2 linked regions of the Astyanax mexicanus genome follow. The protein of the gene in region 1 interacts with the protein of each later gene in a biochemical or structural test. Links are inferred from orthologs where the notes say so. Each region holds a gene or a part of one and is shown on either strand. Other genes may lie near its edges.

Region 1 (7,903 bases):
GGCTAGGAGCACTGCGACGCCCCTCCACCGCTCTGCCGCTCACTGCCTCCCACCTCCTAACTGATGAGCGGTGATGTTGCGTCGCTTCAGCTCCGCCTCTGGGAGTTTCTCGAGCCAAGGTGGGCTGGTCTGTGAGTTTCTGCCTACGTAGGCAGAAAGATAATTCAAAATTCACCCGTTTTTCGGAGGGGGGGAGGGGGGATTTCTTTGCTTAGCTCCTGCAGACAATGGGGGCTGCAAAACAGTTTAATGTGCAGGTGTACACATTCAACTCGGAGAGACCTACTGTATTCCACAAAAAACAAGAAAAATCGGATTTTCGCGGAAGGTGAACTTTAAAAAAATAGTGTGACAGCATTGTGCCCTTTATGGTTGCACTTGGCATGGCTGTTGATTAGGGACATTTGAGGATATACTTGAAACATAATACTGCTTAAGAGAAGCGTTATACATTTCTCCTCACCAAACACTGACCCTAGCAACCGGAAAACAGCAGCCACTGGTGATTCAAACAATATTACACGACACCACATGGCATGTCACTCACTTTTCCAAGTAGGCTAAATCAAAGTCAGTGCAGTAAGAGTAAGTTGTATTAAAATAACAATGCAACACTTGCCCACTGGTTTTCCAGGGAAATGAGTCATTCCAAAAGGGCTTCAGATTATTGTAATGCCCCAGTTCTCTCGCTCACGTAGTAACTTCTAACACCATCTCCTAATGCAACCAGAAGGCAAGCATGTGCCAGTCAACCGTTCCTTTTCCAACTATCTTTCCAAAACTGGACAGCTGAATGGGCTTGTGGGACGAAACATCTCCCCAAGTGATGTAGTGGGAGAGGGCCATCCTAGGCCAACTGTACTCTTGTGCTCGGAACTCTTGGCTACAGATGGCTGTGGCATCAAGAGAGATCTCCTGTTGTCTGAGCCAATGTTTATTTAGATGGCTATTAAAACCTAATAAACCTAATAATAAATACATTCTGTAACTATACTTAATTATATAATAGTCGGGACACATTTTAGGAGTAATGAATATACTTTTGTACTAACAGCAGCCAGTAGCCTTTCTCCCCTCAGACATTACTTTAACATAGAGACAAGGGACAGACACTTAGGCTGTTTTCCCTGACAGAGACAAGGTTTCCTTTCAATGGAAAATCTCAGTTCAAATGCTGCATAGTCCAAAACTAGGCTTAATTTCTATCTGGTAAAATTGCCCCTTAAAGTGTTCTGTCACAATAAAGATGTGCTTAAGACAATTTGGCTCTTCCTTGCTTGTATTAACACTGTAAACTTGCTTTTACAACATGTCTAATAAAAAAAGTCTTCTAATAGAATGACAGTAGAATGTGTCCAAATACTGGTCCACCCTTATCCTTCCCAATCCAGCAATGAGACAAACAAGTCTTAGCACACGGATACCCATCTCCTACTGCATTTTTCTTAAAAGGACCAGTCAAGTAGGGCTGCAATTACTGATTATTTTGGTAGTTGACTAATCTGATTATTTATTTTTTTAAATAAGTCAACGATTACTTCTGCCATAAGATTTAAAAGCTGTTTAAATTATAAACATGAATTTCTTTTATGTTTGATTATTATGCCATACAGGCAATGAAAACCCAAAAATCAGTGTCTTAGTAAAGAAGAATATAATATAAGACCAACCGGTACTTTTGGTAGTGTGGACATCTTGCTAAATTCTGCTGGAAAATGAATCCCGCATCTAAATAAAGTTGTGAGTAGAGGAAAGCATGAAGTGCTGCAAGAATTACTGGGAAAATCTGCTGGTCTTGGTCCACTGTGTTATATCAAGTACAAAAAAAGTGCAGTATTTTCCCGGACAATCTTACAGCACTTCATGCTTCCCTTTACTGACAACTTTATGGAGATGTGGATTTCATTTTTCAGTAGGACTTGGCACATTGCTAAGCTTGCCAATAGTACCAACTGGTCTTATATAGATAATATTTCAATATTCTCATAAACTGATTTTTTGGTTTTCATTAGCTATAAGCCATAATCATAAACAAAAAAACAAATAAAGACTTAAAATAGATCAGTGTGTGTGTGTGTGTGTAATAAATCTATATAATATATGATTTTCACCATTTGCACTGAATTACTAAAGTAGTTATGTAACTTTTCAATGAATGATAACATTTTTTTTAGATGCATTAGTAGTTAACCTAGATAATCTACAGTGAAGAAGCTGGTCAGTCACAGACAGAAACAGAAAGTGGCCAACATTCAACAGAATGCAGTAAACCATTACACAAGCCCCTGGAATAAATGAAAAACACTTGACAACAACGAAACAAACTTCTCTCTCATTAATTCAACAACTAATATTACTCCCACGACTAATAAACTGGGTGAACTTAACATTATTTAGTTGAAACCTTTCAGAATGAGCCCATGACAGCTTTATAGCTTGAGCTAGCGTTACTAGCCTTTCGGCACCACGGCTAGTCACAGTTACTAGGCTAAAGCTAGCTAGCCTAGCCTGCTAGCTATCTAGTAAGTTAGCTAGCTAACGTACTGTTTACAGGGCAGTACATAACAGTAAACAAGCAATTTTGCGTTGTTTTGCCCTGTCTGGCAGCTACATTTAGCTACTGACCTACTATATATGTTTTAAAATAGCAGTTTAATAGACACACCCCTGCTTAGCTAGCTTAGCTATTTCTTACTGCCTTTTTAATACAGGCCTCCATTCAAGCCTCCACTGACGGCCGCTACGTTAGCAAAACTAGCCTAGCTTAGCCAGCTAGCTAAACATACTAAAGCCATAGCTACTGATGCAGCCTCGTTGCAGGATTCTCCTTTATTCTTACCATCTGTAATATTCGTCTGAACATTTTGGTTTCGTTGTTTTTCTGTAGTTTAAACTGTCACGAGTCAGGAGGTCTTTCTCCGCTGGTGTATAATGTTATTCTCGGGTGTTTCCTTCCACCTGCCCGGAGCGCAGCGCACCGCAGCGTCAACCAGCAGCACATGAGTGGGTAGGCGGGTCTGCGGAGCTGCGTGGAGGAGGGAGGAGGGACTCGGCACTCAGGCAGGATTTCGGTTAAAAACTGATATTTCAGGTCAGTGTAACATTTAGCAGCTTAATTTTCTGACCGTTTGAGAAAAAAATGCAAAATTAGAAAATTGGAAATAAAAACATTTTTTATGTCGTGCAGTGTACAAGAAATACTTTTTCATCCAAGTTGGATTATAACATCAGCTTTGTGTTACAAGACACAAAAATGGGCAAATATGATTATCAAGAGAAGATAAAACTTTTATTTTTTTCTCGAAATTATGTTTGTGTAAGGCTGAAATAAAAAAAAACTAAATAATGACTTTAGTGAATTAACTCTTCACTAAACAAAATGGAAAAAATATGAAGTTTTATACCTTATTTTTTATTTAAGCTTGGTACAGTCAGAAAATTAAACTAATAAATGTTACACTGACCATTTTAGACCAGGGGTGGGCAATTCATTTTCCCAAGAGGCCACATGAGAAATTGCAACCGTTTTAGAGGGACATACTAATGTACAAAATAAATTAGCTTGGTTCTGCACAAACATAATGAACACAATGAACAATGTTACACAAAGTTCAGCGGTTATTATTTGATAACTATTGATTTGCCTATTTCTAAAATCCAATCCTCCCTCCAATAGAAGCACATTCATCTGTAGTCACTCATTACTAGAGGTGGGTAACCCAGGTCCCAGGGTTACCCACTTCTGCTCATCACACACGATGGTATTTTCCACTCTTGCCAGACCACACATGTCCACCACCTACCGGGTCGTATGGAGGAGGAGGTGGACTCTTCTGAAGCAACAGTAAAATTGATCCAGTTGTTGACAGCATTCAATTCCAGTTATTTATTACAGGGAGAAATGGAGAAACAGCGAGGCCTGCTTTACAAGACCGCAAATATGAAGTACCAGAATTTATCCTCTAACCAAAAAGCTTATTTTGTGGTGTAAAACAGCTTTGAACATTAAGGACACAAACACAAAGATTTCTCCCCCAGAAAAGCATTTCAGACAGTGAGGAGGAACTGCCATTCAATTTCAAATCCCAACAGTTTGGACACATTCTCTCATCCAATGTTTTTTTTCTATATATATATTTGTATTATTTAATTGTATTATTTATTTTATTTTTTATTTATTTTATTATTTATTATTTTATATTTCTTTTTATATTTTATTTTACATTTATTTATTTTGTAGATTAAAATCAAAGACATGAAAATTAGGGACACATTATTTAGTATCATGTGACCTAAACCGTATCAGCTGAGATGGTGATTTGAGCTGATTTGGGATGAGCTGAAGCTTCACAGCACGAAGAAAAAAGCAGCAACTATTATTCAGGACCCCCAGGAACTCCTTCAAGACGCTGAGAAAACTATTTCAGGTGACTCTACCTCATGAAGCCACTAAGATTAAAATACCAAGAGTGGGCAAACACACTCAAGAGTGTGTTTAAATATCAAGTGGCTTCAGTGTAGATTTGTTAGCCTATACCCAACTTGTCAGACAATATGTAAAGTCTGGAATTATCATGGCATTCGCATGTCGTTGCAGTTTCACAATTAAGTAATTTTCGAATAAATGTAAAAATATTAAATCGAATCTGACTTGTTGCCACACAGTTGTTACATTTCCATTTGCAACTATCAAAAACACAAATTGTAGTCAAATTGCCACCAACTTGAGTGTGAATGAATGAGTAGGTAGTACCCTGTGTTGCACTGGCATCTGGTCCTGGAGGTATCCTTGCCTCTTACCTAGTGATTATTCCAGGTATCACGAAGAAACAGAGACGTAGATGAATGGAAATCTGTTTAGATTTAATCCAACTTGCTCCTCTTCTGTTTTGTTCTGACTTTAAGAACAGAATTGAAGAGCTAAATACATCAGTTTAACCAGCAGCATAATCAGGAACTGAAAGAGGAATTAACCAGTGGGTGGAACAGAATTCATGAGAAAAAAAACCTCTTCTTCTGGGCTTTCTGGAAGTCATAGCTACCTGTGTGACTGTAGTCTACCAGTTGTAGTGTAACTACTGTTACGGCTCTTCAAAGTGGTTTTATCGGGACCCACCTTTTATCTGGAACAACAACAAAAAAGTTCCACTGTATTAATGTTAGTGCTAATGTATTATTTTCAGAATATTAATAAGAGGTCTACCAGACATTTGAATTATTAGTAAGGTGTTTTTTGGGCACTTATTGCCCAAACTGAAGGACCTAATTTGACCTAATCTTCCTCAAACACAGATGACCATAGATTTTTCGTATAACATCTGTAGCCTGAATATTGCATACAAAGACTGCATACATTGGTATCTACATCATATATCCTTTCTTTCTCAACCACAAGTGCATATACAGCATTTATTTATCCAATAAAAACCAGTGAAGACAAAATCAAAATCCAATGCATTAGTGAAGACATGATTGGTGAAATTTGTCTTCAGTCATTTGTAGGACTAATAATCATGGCTGTAGTCACAACATATAATGGGCAGGACACCCCCTAACTAGAAAAAAAAACATATTTTACTAAAAACTGCCAATAATTGTATAGAGTATAAATGAACATTTTGCAATTGAAGTCATCAATGTCTTTATATTTCATTATCATTTATTAGAAATACAATGTGAATTCTAGGTAAATGTCAATCACAGGTGTATCATGTAGAGAGTAGTAGTTTTCATTTATTAAGGTCATTAGCAAAATGAAAGGTGGAAATGACATATGGCAGTTTTTGGCAGTTTCAGGTAAAATGTTAATACAAATGTTCATTGTTTAACCCAAGGTTAGCAGCTTGGAAATAATATATTTTGGTTGCCTTGGTTGCATTTTCATTCACAATAACCACATTAAACATATTTCCCACCACAGCAAAGAGCCAAATAACCCAGGCAGGGACCCAATTTAATGTTCAGTCATTGCCTTAACTGACTGCATTGGTGGCTCAGTCACCAGAATGCTGGGTTACTGGTTCTAGACCCAGGTTCACTCAAATGCTACTGTAGGAAAGGCCCTTCACTCTGATCCTAGTTTTCCCAGCTGGAATATGCAGAGATCATTGTATTATACTGTACAAGTGGATAAGCATAATGACAATACTTAAAGAATTTGAAGATCAAAAGCTTTCTTGCCTCAATTGTCTTTTACCATTCAATGATCCAGGGCTGTTGAGAAGATATTTATAAACAATAACAACAAAAGTTGAGGCACAGTCGCCAGCATTAAATAGGTTTCAAGATTGTTGGGACACACAGAAAGCAGTTAATAAACAGCTGTTTAATAGGTTGAGTTCACATTTAAGATCAACCCGTGAAAACAACTTACAGCATTTTAGATTTAGAACATAGGCAAAAAATAGCACTAAAGTCTTCTAAAGCAATCAGAGGCACATCCCAGTGAACTTGAGGATGCGTAAGAGTGTTGACTGCTTTTAAAGGCACCAAGCTCAGTCAAATAATAATGAACTTTCAGAATTTTTCGGAAGAAAATAGCTTAAAAAAAAAATCATTTTTTGGCAATTTGGTTGTGAATTTGTACATCAAGTATTTTTTTGCACATCTTTATTATCCTGTTCTTATCTAAAGATTCATTTTTTTAAACCACCACTCAAACCATGAATAAATAACACTATAAATCCAGCAGTCATCTCAGCTCTTTCTCTTTACCTCTTCGTAATTCCATCCACAGATCACGATCCGAAATGTCCACCAGTGTCACTGTAGCTTTCACTTTCAGCTCAATTCCAACATCCTCTTGTTTGGCTGTGTCAAACTGTCTTGCAGAAAAATGAAAATCTATACACACTACAAGCTTGAGGCAAAAGTCAGAGGCAGGCTCTCCTCTGATTTCTCAACGATTTAAAAAACATTTCTCAAATAGTAAACATGGAAACAATACATGCAAAAAGAGTCTTTTTCCAGTCCAAAGAGAAATTCCTGTGTGTGGTGCACAGCTGCCCCCTGTTGGCAGTTCTATCTGTGTAAGCGGGGCAGACCTGTGCAGTCCTGTGAGGTGCTTTGGTGGAGGGGGGCGTTGTTGTCCAGGGCTGTGGGCTCCTGACTGTTGCCATTGGTGGGGCCACAGCGAGGGGTGAGTCTGCGGAGGTATTCCGCGTGGACTGGCTTGTGGCACTGCAGCACCCGGATAGCCTCGTCAATCTTAAACCACTTTCTTTTACGACCTAAGGGAAAAAAAACAGTGCAGAAATATTTTACACTTCAACACACAAGAGATTTTAATGACATATGAATGTGCACATGTTGAGTTCTTGTTGGAATGTAGTTATATATGTGTAAACACAGTGAAATTATATTTTTCAGTTCCTGTAACCTAAGCTTTATATCCCATTTTTAATTTGTTTTTAATTTTAACATAATCTGTTGTAAGCCTTACAATTGTGTCATTCTTTTGAATAAATAAATTCTGTGTTAAATAAATCAATGCGAATTATCATAAAAAAGAAAGTAAAAATTACATTCCTTGATGTATATTATATATTGCTTAACAAATGTCATTAAGGGCATCCTGAGGTTTGTGGACAGTGGAGTGGATGGATGTCTGGATGTCAATGTTTTAGGGTGCTATAATGTCTATGTTACCTTCTGGCTGTTTTCTTTTAGGTAGCTGTTATAGTCAGATCTGACATAATTGTTAGCCACACTTTGATAATCTGATCATATTCACTGTACTTCATAGAACCAGTAAGAACTAATTTAATCTCTTTACCTTTCCGATAGTTCATCTGTCTAGTCGAATACTAACGGGACTGATAAGTTTTTCCCATTACCCAGCACAGAGCACTAGCTGCCAACTGTCCAGCTTATGCTACCTGCTTCTGACTAGTTCCCCACATTC
Region 2 (7,953 bases), on another chromosome or scaffold:
TTATTATTATTATTATTATTACTTGTAATTTCCTTCTGCAGAACAAGAACACCCACCTGAACCAGGCCATCCACGAAGAGCAGGAAGCCATCCTGGAACTGCGCGTCCAGCTCCGCCTCCTCCAGAGCCAGAAGCTTCAGCAGGAGCTCACAGCTCCTCCCACAGCAGAGCAGGCCCCTCCTGTACAGCCCAGCCCTGAAGAGCGATCCAGGGTGGAAGAGCCAATTAAACGCAGCGCACCCGCTGCCATAACAGCCCCGGGAGATGCCACAGCAACTCCTTCTGCAGCTCCAGCCAATGGGAAGCCTGGAAAGGACACTTTAAAACCTTCACCTAGTAAAACGTACACCGCCAGTCAGAATCCACCACTGTAATTTAAATGCCCCACTGGGTTCTCTTCCTTTTTCCTGTATGTCGTGTGACATTAGCCTCTAGCATCACCTGCAGGCGTCTGCTGAGAGTTCAGTGAAGCTGAACTGAATTTTCGGGACCACAAACTTTAGAAGCTTTAGGAAGGCAAGTCATTGGATCAAGTTATTGATCAGTCAACCAATGGCAGGTGAGCAGGGGTGCCTTTTTTTGTTTGTTTGTTTGTTTTTTCTTTTGTTTTTGGGAGAGAGAGGTCATAGTGCCCTAAAGGACCTTTTTTAATCCTAAAAAGAAGCCAAAAGGAAGTTTCTTTACAATGAGATCTCCCTGTGTTTAATGTCTTAAAACCGTGGTCTTCAGCTCTGCCCCTGTATAGCTGTAATCTTATCTTATGCTCCTTTTCAGCTATGTCGGAAGTCAGATGTTGATATTTGAATTTAAACATTAAGATAATTGTACACCAAATCACTTTGGAGTTTAATACAACTGGCTTGACAATCATTTACTGGTGTGAAAATTATAGTGAAAATTTGTCCAAGCCAAAATATGTCCCAGGTTAGCATTGTTAGCATAGATTATACAGTATTTTGCACATGTCTACTGATATTAGTGGGACAGTAGTGAGTGCACAATTGAGTTAGTGAGACAAAATTGATAAAGAAGTGGTAATAAACTGTACACTATTATTCCATTATCTTTCCTAAATTTCCGGGTAGGAAATCTAACTTTTGGGGCTGTTACAGTTCAAATTTACTGCTTTAACTGCTTTAAATTACAAGATGCGAGTTTAAATGTAATAAAGCATAAGGCGCCGATACTATGACCCAAAGATCTGAGGTTTGAACCACTTGTCATTCTGCTTGAGCCTGAAAGAGCTCTCCTGACTTTTTTGAAATTCTTTAGAAATTCCTACTTTAAAATGGACAATTTTGATATTTGAGACGTCCAAATGGAACACCGCTTAAATCCTGCCTTTAAAAGTCCTTAAACTAGCTTGGTGGGTCTCCAGGAGGAGAACAGAAGACCACTGTCTTAAGACAGCTAAGGATTTCCATTATGCTTCAAATAATAAATAATTATGTGAATGTATTTTAAACGAAAAGTTAACTCTCCTCATTGAGGTACACTCCTAAAAATAAAGTTACTACAAGTGGTTCTTTTAATTAATGCCACAGAAACAAACAAACAAAAAAAACTTATAATTTAACTTTTAAAAATCACATCTCTACTTAGAACCATGTTTGTAACAAAGCCAAGCAAAGTGGTTCTATTCTATGACATCAATCTAAGAAACGGTGAAAAATCTTTGTTTTTAGGAGTGTATTGACTTAAAAAGAGGATTTTTGTGGAGAATAGTGGTCCCAATATGCTCTTATTCAAGTGAACAGAAGAGGTGTGTGTGTATGCATGTGTGTGTGTGCGTGAGAACCAGATTAAGATATGAAACCACTGTGCCATATGTGAGTGAATGCAACCATACTGAAGTTTTTCATTGAAGAAACTGTTGAGACAAAGACGTTAAGATGCTATATTGCTATATTATATATTTAGGGAAATAAATGACAGAGGGTAATTTGTAGTAATTAATTATGATTAATTAAGTATGCCATTTATTTGGTTTTATATGAATATATGCAAAGGTATACAAATCTACAAGTCCTCAAATAGAAGCAAGCGAATAGAACCAATTTAAGCATGATTTCTATTTATTTTATTTTATTATTATATTGGAGTAAAAAAAAAAATCAAACATATCAAATTTGCCATAATCTTAATAAATGCCACATTATTATGTTTTCCTGCTAATCTTTCTTTTAATGTTTAGTCAATGGCCAATACAGATCTGTGTAAACTGTGTAAAACTCATTCTACACTTTAAGACCCCGTTTACACCTGATTACTTCATATTGAGTCTTGAGTATCAGGATTATATCTGGATTAGGTCAAATTGAGTGTAAACAAATACAAATCTGATCACTCAAACCACTTCAGGGGGTGATCTGAGACTCATCAGAGCCACATGTTATAGCAGTGTAAACACATCTGTCTCTCCAAGACAAATTCTACAACCAAAACTCCTCCCACTAGAACCGAACCAGTAATGATTGCCATGCCATGAACAAATTTGCATATTCCATCCAACAGTCTGTCACAGCCAATCAAATTTCAGTATGACTAATCGAATACACATATACATCTACCAAGTGTAAACATGTGGCTAAAATCTAATCAGAATTCAATCCAGATACTTGTCACATCATGTAACCAGGTGTAAACGGGGTCTTAGTCATGATAAAGCACAAAAAGAGTATTTTTGATGGACGATAGAAAGCTTTATGTTTTGACTGAGAAAGATTAAGGTGAATCGTGGTTACACTGTAGGGCTGTGGTGTTTATATAAATATATTACACCTAACAACATGCATAGACATGTTTTTGTTCATTAAATGAATATAGATAGATTGATATATGGCAATTAACTCCAGTTTGTTACCAGTGCATTAACCATGGTCACGACATTATCAGAATAATCTACGGGATGAGTACAACAACAACCCTGTTTGTCTGAAGTCATTGTTTAGTTATGAAATTAATTATGAAGTTGTTTAAATAAATAATATTACTTATTTTGTGATTGTTTAGGGGGAAACTCCCCCAAAACATGTTCTCCTGGCACACTGAGAATGGTGTCTTTTTCTCTAAACGCTACTTCTGCTTAAGCTTTCTTTATCTGTGTCTTTTTTTTCTCACTTTCTTTTCCATCAGTTGAGAAGTTCTCTATATCTGCAGTTCTGAATACTGTTAACTGTTTTCCTTTGTACTCCATTGTGTGTGGATAAGCTTCTTTTCTAAAATGACTGATTGCAAAGACAAATCTACTCTCTCTAAAATTATTTTTCATGCTTGTTCATGTTTTGTCTGTTGTTTTTTTGTAGCTCTTTGTCCTTGCTAGAAGAATGATGCTGTACTAAGTAATAAAGTGTCTGGAAATCAAGTTTAATATGAATAGTGTCTAATGGATTAAGAATGTATAGCGATTATTGCATTAAATAGCAGAATGAGTACAGCGGATGCTGGTATCTTGAGTTTAAATGATGTCTGATTTCTGTGTATACAGCATTTCTGTCTGAATAAGACCTTGTTTGTATAAAACAGTAACTTTAAAGGTCAAAGAAAAGACATTGTTCAGTTTCAGATGAAGTTAATTTAATATTATTTTATCCCAATTTTAGACCATTAGTGGTGGTCCATTTATCATTGCTCGTTGTAAAAAGCAGCCAGATTTCCATAATCACGGTATGTAACCCCCACGGTTGTTTTAATTATTTTTCTCAATATATTAGTAATCAGATGACATGGTGGCGCTACAGGTAATGCATGTCTGAAAACCTGTATTCCCCTCTTACACCCAATAATTCCAGGTGGGCTGTGGACCTGCTGCAACCCAGACCAGGTAGTAGCGAATATGAAGATGTTCAAATTATATATGATATATGATAATGTTGTTATACAGAAGAGCTAGTATTAAGACCTAGTGCTTGCCTCATTTTCCTCTTAGTGTGAACAAATTTATTATTTTGATTTGACTCTTTTGGATGAATCCATGAAACCAATAGAAAAAGAGAATCATCCCGTGTTGTGTTTTTCTAGTCAGATGTTTGTATCTTTTAATTATTTATAAGATCAAGCAGGAAAATTGAAAACTTCTGGAATATAATCAAGAGGAAGATGGATGATCACAAGTCATCAAACCAAACTGAACTGCTTGATTTTTTACACCAGGATTAAAGGCATAAAGTTATTCAAAGGCAGTGTGTAAGACTGGTGGAAGAGAACATACATGATAACTGTGATTAAAAACAGGGTTATTCCACCAAATATTGATTTCTGAACTCTTAAAACTTTAAAAAATATGAACTTGCTTTCTTTGCATTATTTGAGGTCTGAAAGCTCTGCATAATTTTTTGTTATTTCAGCTTGTTTTCATTTTCATTCTGCAAATAAATGCTCTAAATGATAATATTTTTTATTTGGAATTTGGGAGAAATGTTGTCTGTAGTTTATAGAATAAAACAACAATGTTCATTTTACTCAAACATAAACCTATAAATAGTAAAATCAGAGAAACTGATTCAGAAACTGAAGTAGTCTCTTCATTTTTTCGAGAGCTGTATTGATATTTTAAAGTCACTGAAATATGAATCTAGCTAACTAACTCAACCGAATCTCTTGAAAATTGAAAAAACGAAAAATCTTCACTGAATCGGTTCGCTGAGTTGACTCATCATTTCAGTAGTTACAGATTTATGAATAGAGAGTGAATAGAGTGAATAGAGAGTGGCTCAGCCAGCCACATATAATGTGTGTATATTGAACTGAATCGAATAATAAATAACTAAATAAAATTATTTAAAAATGGTGCCCTCTTTAGTTTTTTTTTTTTTACTAAAAATAAAAAACGGAAAATCTTCAATGAATCGTTTTGAGCGAATCGGTTCGCTGAACTGAATCTTTTTTTCTCAGTTCGGACTTCCGCAGAGATCGACACGGAGCGTCACGTGACCCGGGGGACAGCGCCGCGGTGGTGTCGTGTTGCGGCGGCGGCGGCTGGGTGTTCCGTTAGCGGGCTGTGTTCCGTTAAGAGTCGGGAGGTGGTGCGCGGAGGTTTATTAGAGGAAAGGCCGCTGTGAGGAGGATCTGATACCGGAGATCCAGCGGACAGCGCGCGGGGATGGTGAGGATGATCATGCTGGAGCTGCTGTAGGAGGAGAAATGGCCATCAGGGAGCTGAAAGTGTGTCTCCTCGGGGTAAGTTCACAAATTCCCCAACTCTCCTCAGCATTCCTCCGCCTGTCTGCGGTCCGGATCCTCACACACCCGGTGATCCGTCCAGTTCTGCTACCCATCGATATGTGCTTCTTATCCGCACTACGCATGCGCTTACACACATTTTCCACTGTTTTTTGTTAGTTTTTCAAGATATTAGAGATAATTCTGTCATTCTGTTTTCCTCCGATGCTTTAAACGTTTCTATCTGTTATTATTTTCTCACGTGTTACAAATCTTTCAGGCAGTTAATAAACAAAAAAAACACAAAATAAACATTTAAAAAATACCTTAACTTTAACTTTACTAATGATACACTTATTTAGCCCTTTCAAATATCCTGGCTACCTTGTGTGGATCATAAAAGCTAGCCATAACATGTTTTGGAACCTCAATAAGTTAAAGTTAAATTTACTCAGATTTTTTTAATAAACTTTAAAAGTTGAATTTATCTTTATTTATTTTTATTTATCAGTTTGAGTTCTAACAATGCTTGTGATGTAATTAAATGTGCATATAAAAAAAACGGATTTTTTTCAGATAAAAAAAACCTGTTTGATATTTTGTTATATTTTGTATAAAAAAATAGTTTTTATTTCATAATTTTGAATCAGTTTGAGTAGAATTTGTGTTTTTTTAATCTAAAAATCAGATTTAAAAAAATATATATTTACTTTAAAATGTATTGCACCATTATGTTACATTATACCAGCTCACAAGTTCTAAAAACAAAAACAATGTGAACTACAAATCATATTTATAAATTTATAAATATATTTAATTTTGAACATTAAAAATTTTGACTTAAATACTTATATCATAGAACCTCTATAATCTGGACTCGTTCCTGGAGAGTGTTATCTATAATGTGCGGCTTTTTTGTATTTATCTTTAAATACACAGTAGGGTAGCACGGTTTGACAGGGTAGCAGAACTCGGCAGAACACCGGCGACTGAGAGCCAGAACCGTGCTGTGGACCGAGCACCGGTTCAGTTCGGGCTGTTTAACCCCGTTAGCTTAGCATAAGATCTTCTGTCTAAACTGTAGAGCTGCAGCTGCTGGTTCTGAGAGGTTCTGCTGGCAGTGACTGGGTCAGGACTCGGTTCTGCTGTAACTGTGGGTTTGGGTTCTGACTGTTGGGCCTATTTTAAGCTCAGTTTTGGCCTCGTATTGTTGTTTTGTGGGAGTAACAATGGGATTAGGGTTTTAAAGCAGATACATTAGACTTCAGAAGAGTTTATTTAAACTAAAATAGTATGTATAGAAAATCCAGAGCAAATTATAGCTGAGCAGCCATTACGTCATGGTCCAGCTTAAAGCAGACAACAAACCAGCAGAAGGAGCAGCAGCTCTTTTGACATGGGCCTGAGGTCAGTTTAGGCCTAAGAGCTGGATCTTAAAGAACCTACAGGCAGAAAAAAGTCAATAGAGTACAAAAAAGAGTAGCTAAAAGTCAAACTAGAAAGGGTTAAGTTGGGGAAAAACACTAATAACATTGAAAAAGGTTTATAAAAAGCTGTAAAAGTCAAGCTATATAACTTTATATCCATTAGAAGCTACCTTAAATCCAGTGTTATCTTTTTTTCACTGCCACCTTACATCCTTAAATAGTAGCAAAGCTATTTAAATGCTGCAGCTGAGCTTTACATTTGTAAATAATTGTTAATCTGGTGTATACGGATGACTGTAGAATGTTGTAAGGCAGGTCACACAATGCAATGTCACAAGATTTATTTCAACGGATTGAAATATTGCATTAATCACATCCCAAAGATTCTCAATGATGATGATCTCATGCTCCCTGAATCACTGTTTCAAAAATCCAGCCCCATGAATCCTGACATTGTCATCTTGGAATATGCTCATATCATCAGGGAAGAACAAATCCATTGATGGAATAACCTGGTCTATATTCAGTATATTCAGGTAGTCAGCTGACCTCATTCTTTCAGCACATACTGTTGCTGAACCTAAACCTGCAGACCAACTGCAGCATCAACCCCACATCATTTACTTACTTAAATCCAGGTGGAGACTTTTTTTTTTGTCCATGCAGTGTATACTGCTGTTGAAGTAGCGCTGGACGATATGGGCAAAATTTATACGACGATATATTCCTTAATTTCGGTCGATACGATATAATTTAGATATCGATATTAATACCTTGAAAGCCTCTGAAAAACTACTCCTGCAATGGAAATCTGTACCTACTACTGTCTGAAAATTTTATTTAAGTCTTTGAAGCCTCTTTTCTGAGTTTAATAGAGCTATTTCTAGTTCTAGTTATTTCTCATCATTTCAACACCTGGTTTGGTAAATTGGTAAATGTGGTAAATCAGGTGAGCTGCTGACGGAACTGAACATATACACATGCTGGCTATGTTTTTATAAATTGCTGCCCTGATTACATAAACCGTTCCCTCAATTTTTTTAATTGTTCCCTCAATTTAATAACCCATTTTCTTAATTTCCCATTTCCCTAAATTCCCTTGATTTAATAATTAATTCCCTAATTTTAGTAAATCATCACCTTAATTGCATTAACCTTTTTATCCTTGATTTGATACACTATTCCTTTCCTTAAACAATCAGGCCAGTAATCTTAAAATCAGTGTCATATTAAATCACTTCACTCAGCATCTGTCAGTACAGCAACTGAAGTGTGTTATCTTATTGAAGATCTTTTGTCTTTCTAAAATAAAAGTCATAAGTGTGACCAATCACAAAGCAGTGCAGCTGCTGTTGCCAGGGATACA

Evidence for each region.
Region 2: the proteins of eea1 (region 1) and rab31 form a complex in vitro, tested with the Homo sapiens proteins (2 studies listed by BioGRID). The link is inferred for Astyanax mexicanus from reciprocal best matches to the Homo sapiens genes EEA1 and RAB31.

What each region holds. Positions count from the first base shown.
Region 1 is NC_064416.1:21,084,821-21,092,723, reverse strand, and holds the start of eea1 (early endosome antigen 1), read right to left. Parts: upstream 3,020-7,903; 5' UTR 2,864-3,019; coding exon 2,840-2,863; intron 1-2,839. Other genes in the region: nudt4a (nudix (nucleoside diphosphate linked moiety X)-type motif 4a), read right to left, coding at 7,021-7,229. UniProt on the Homo sapiens protein: Binds phospholipid vesicles containing phosphatidylinositol 3-phosphate and participates in endosomal trafficking.
Region 2 is NC_064411.1:46,539,842-46,547,794, forward strand, and holds the start of rab31 (ras-related protein Rab-31), read left to right. Parts: upstream 1-4,936; 5' UTR 4,937-5,142; coding exon 5,143-5,178; intron 5,179-7,953. Other genes in the region: ralbp1 (ralA-binding protein 1), read left to right, coding at 42-374. UniProt on the Homo sapiens protein: The small GTPases Rab are key regulators of intracellular membrane trafficking, from the formation of transport vesicles to their fusion with membranes.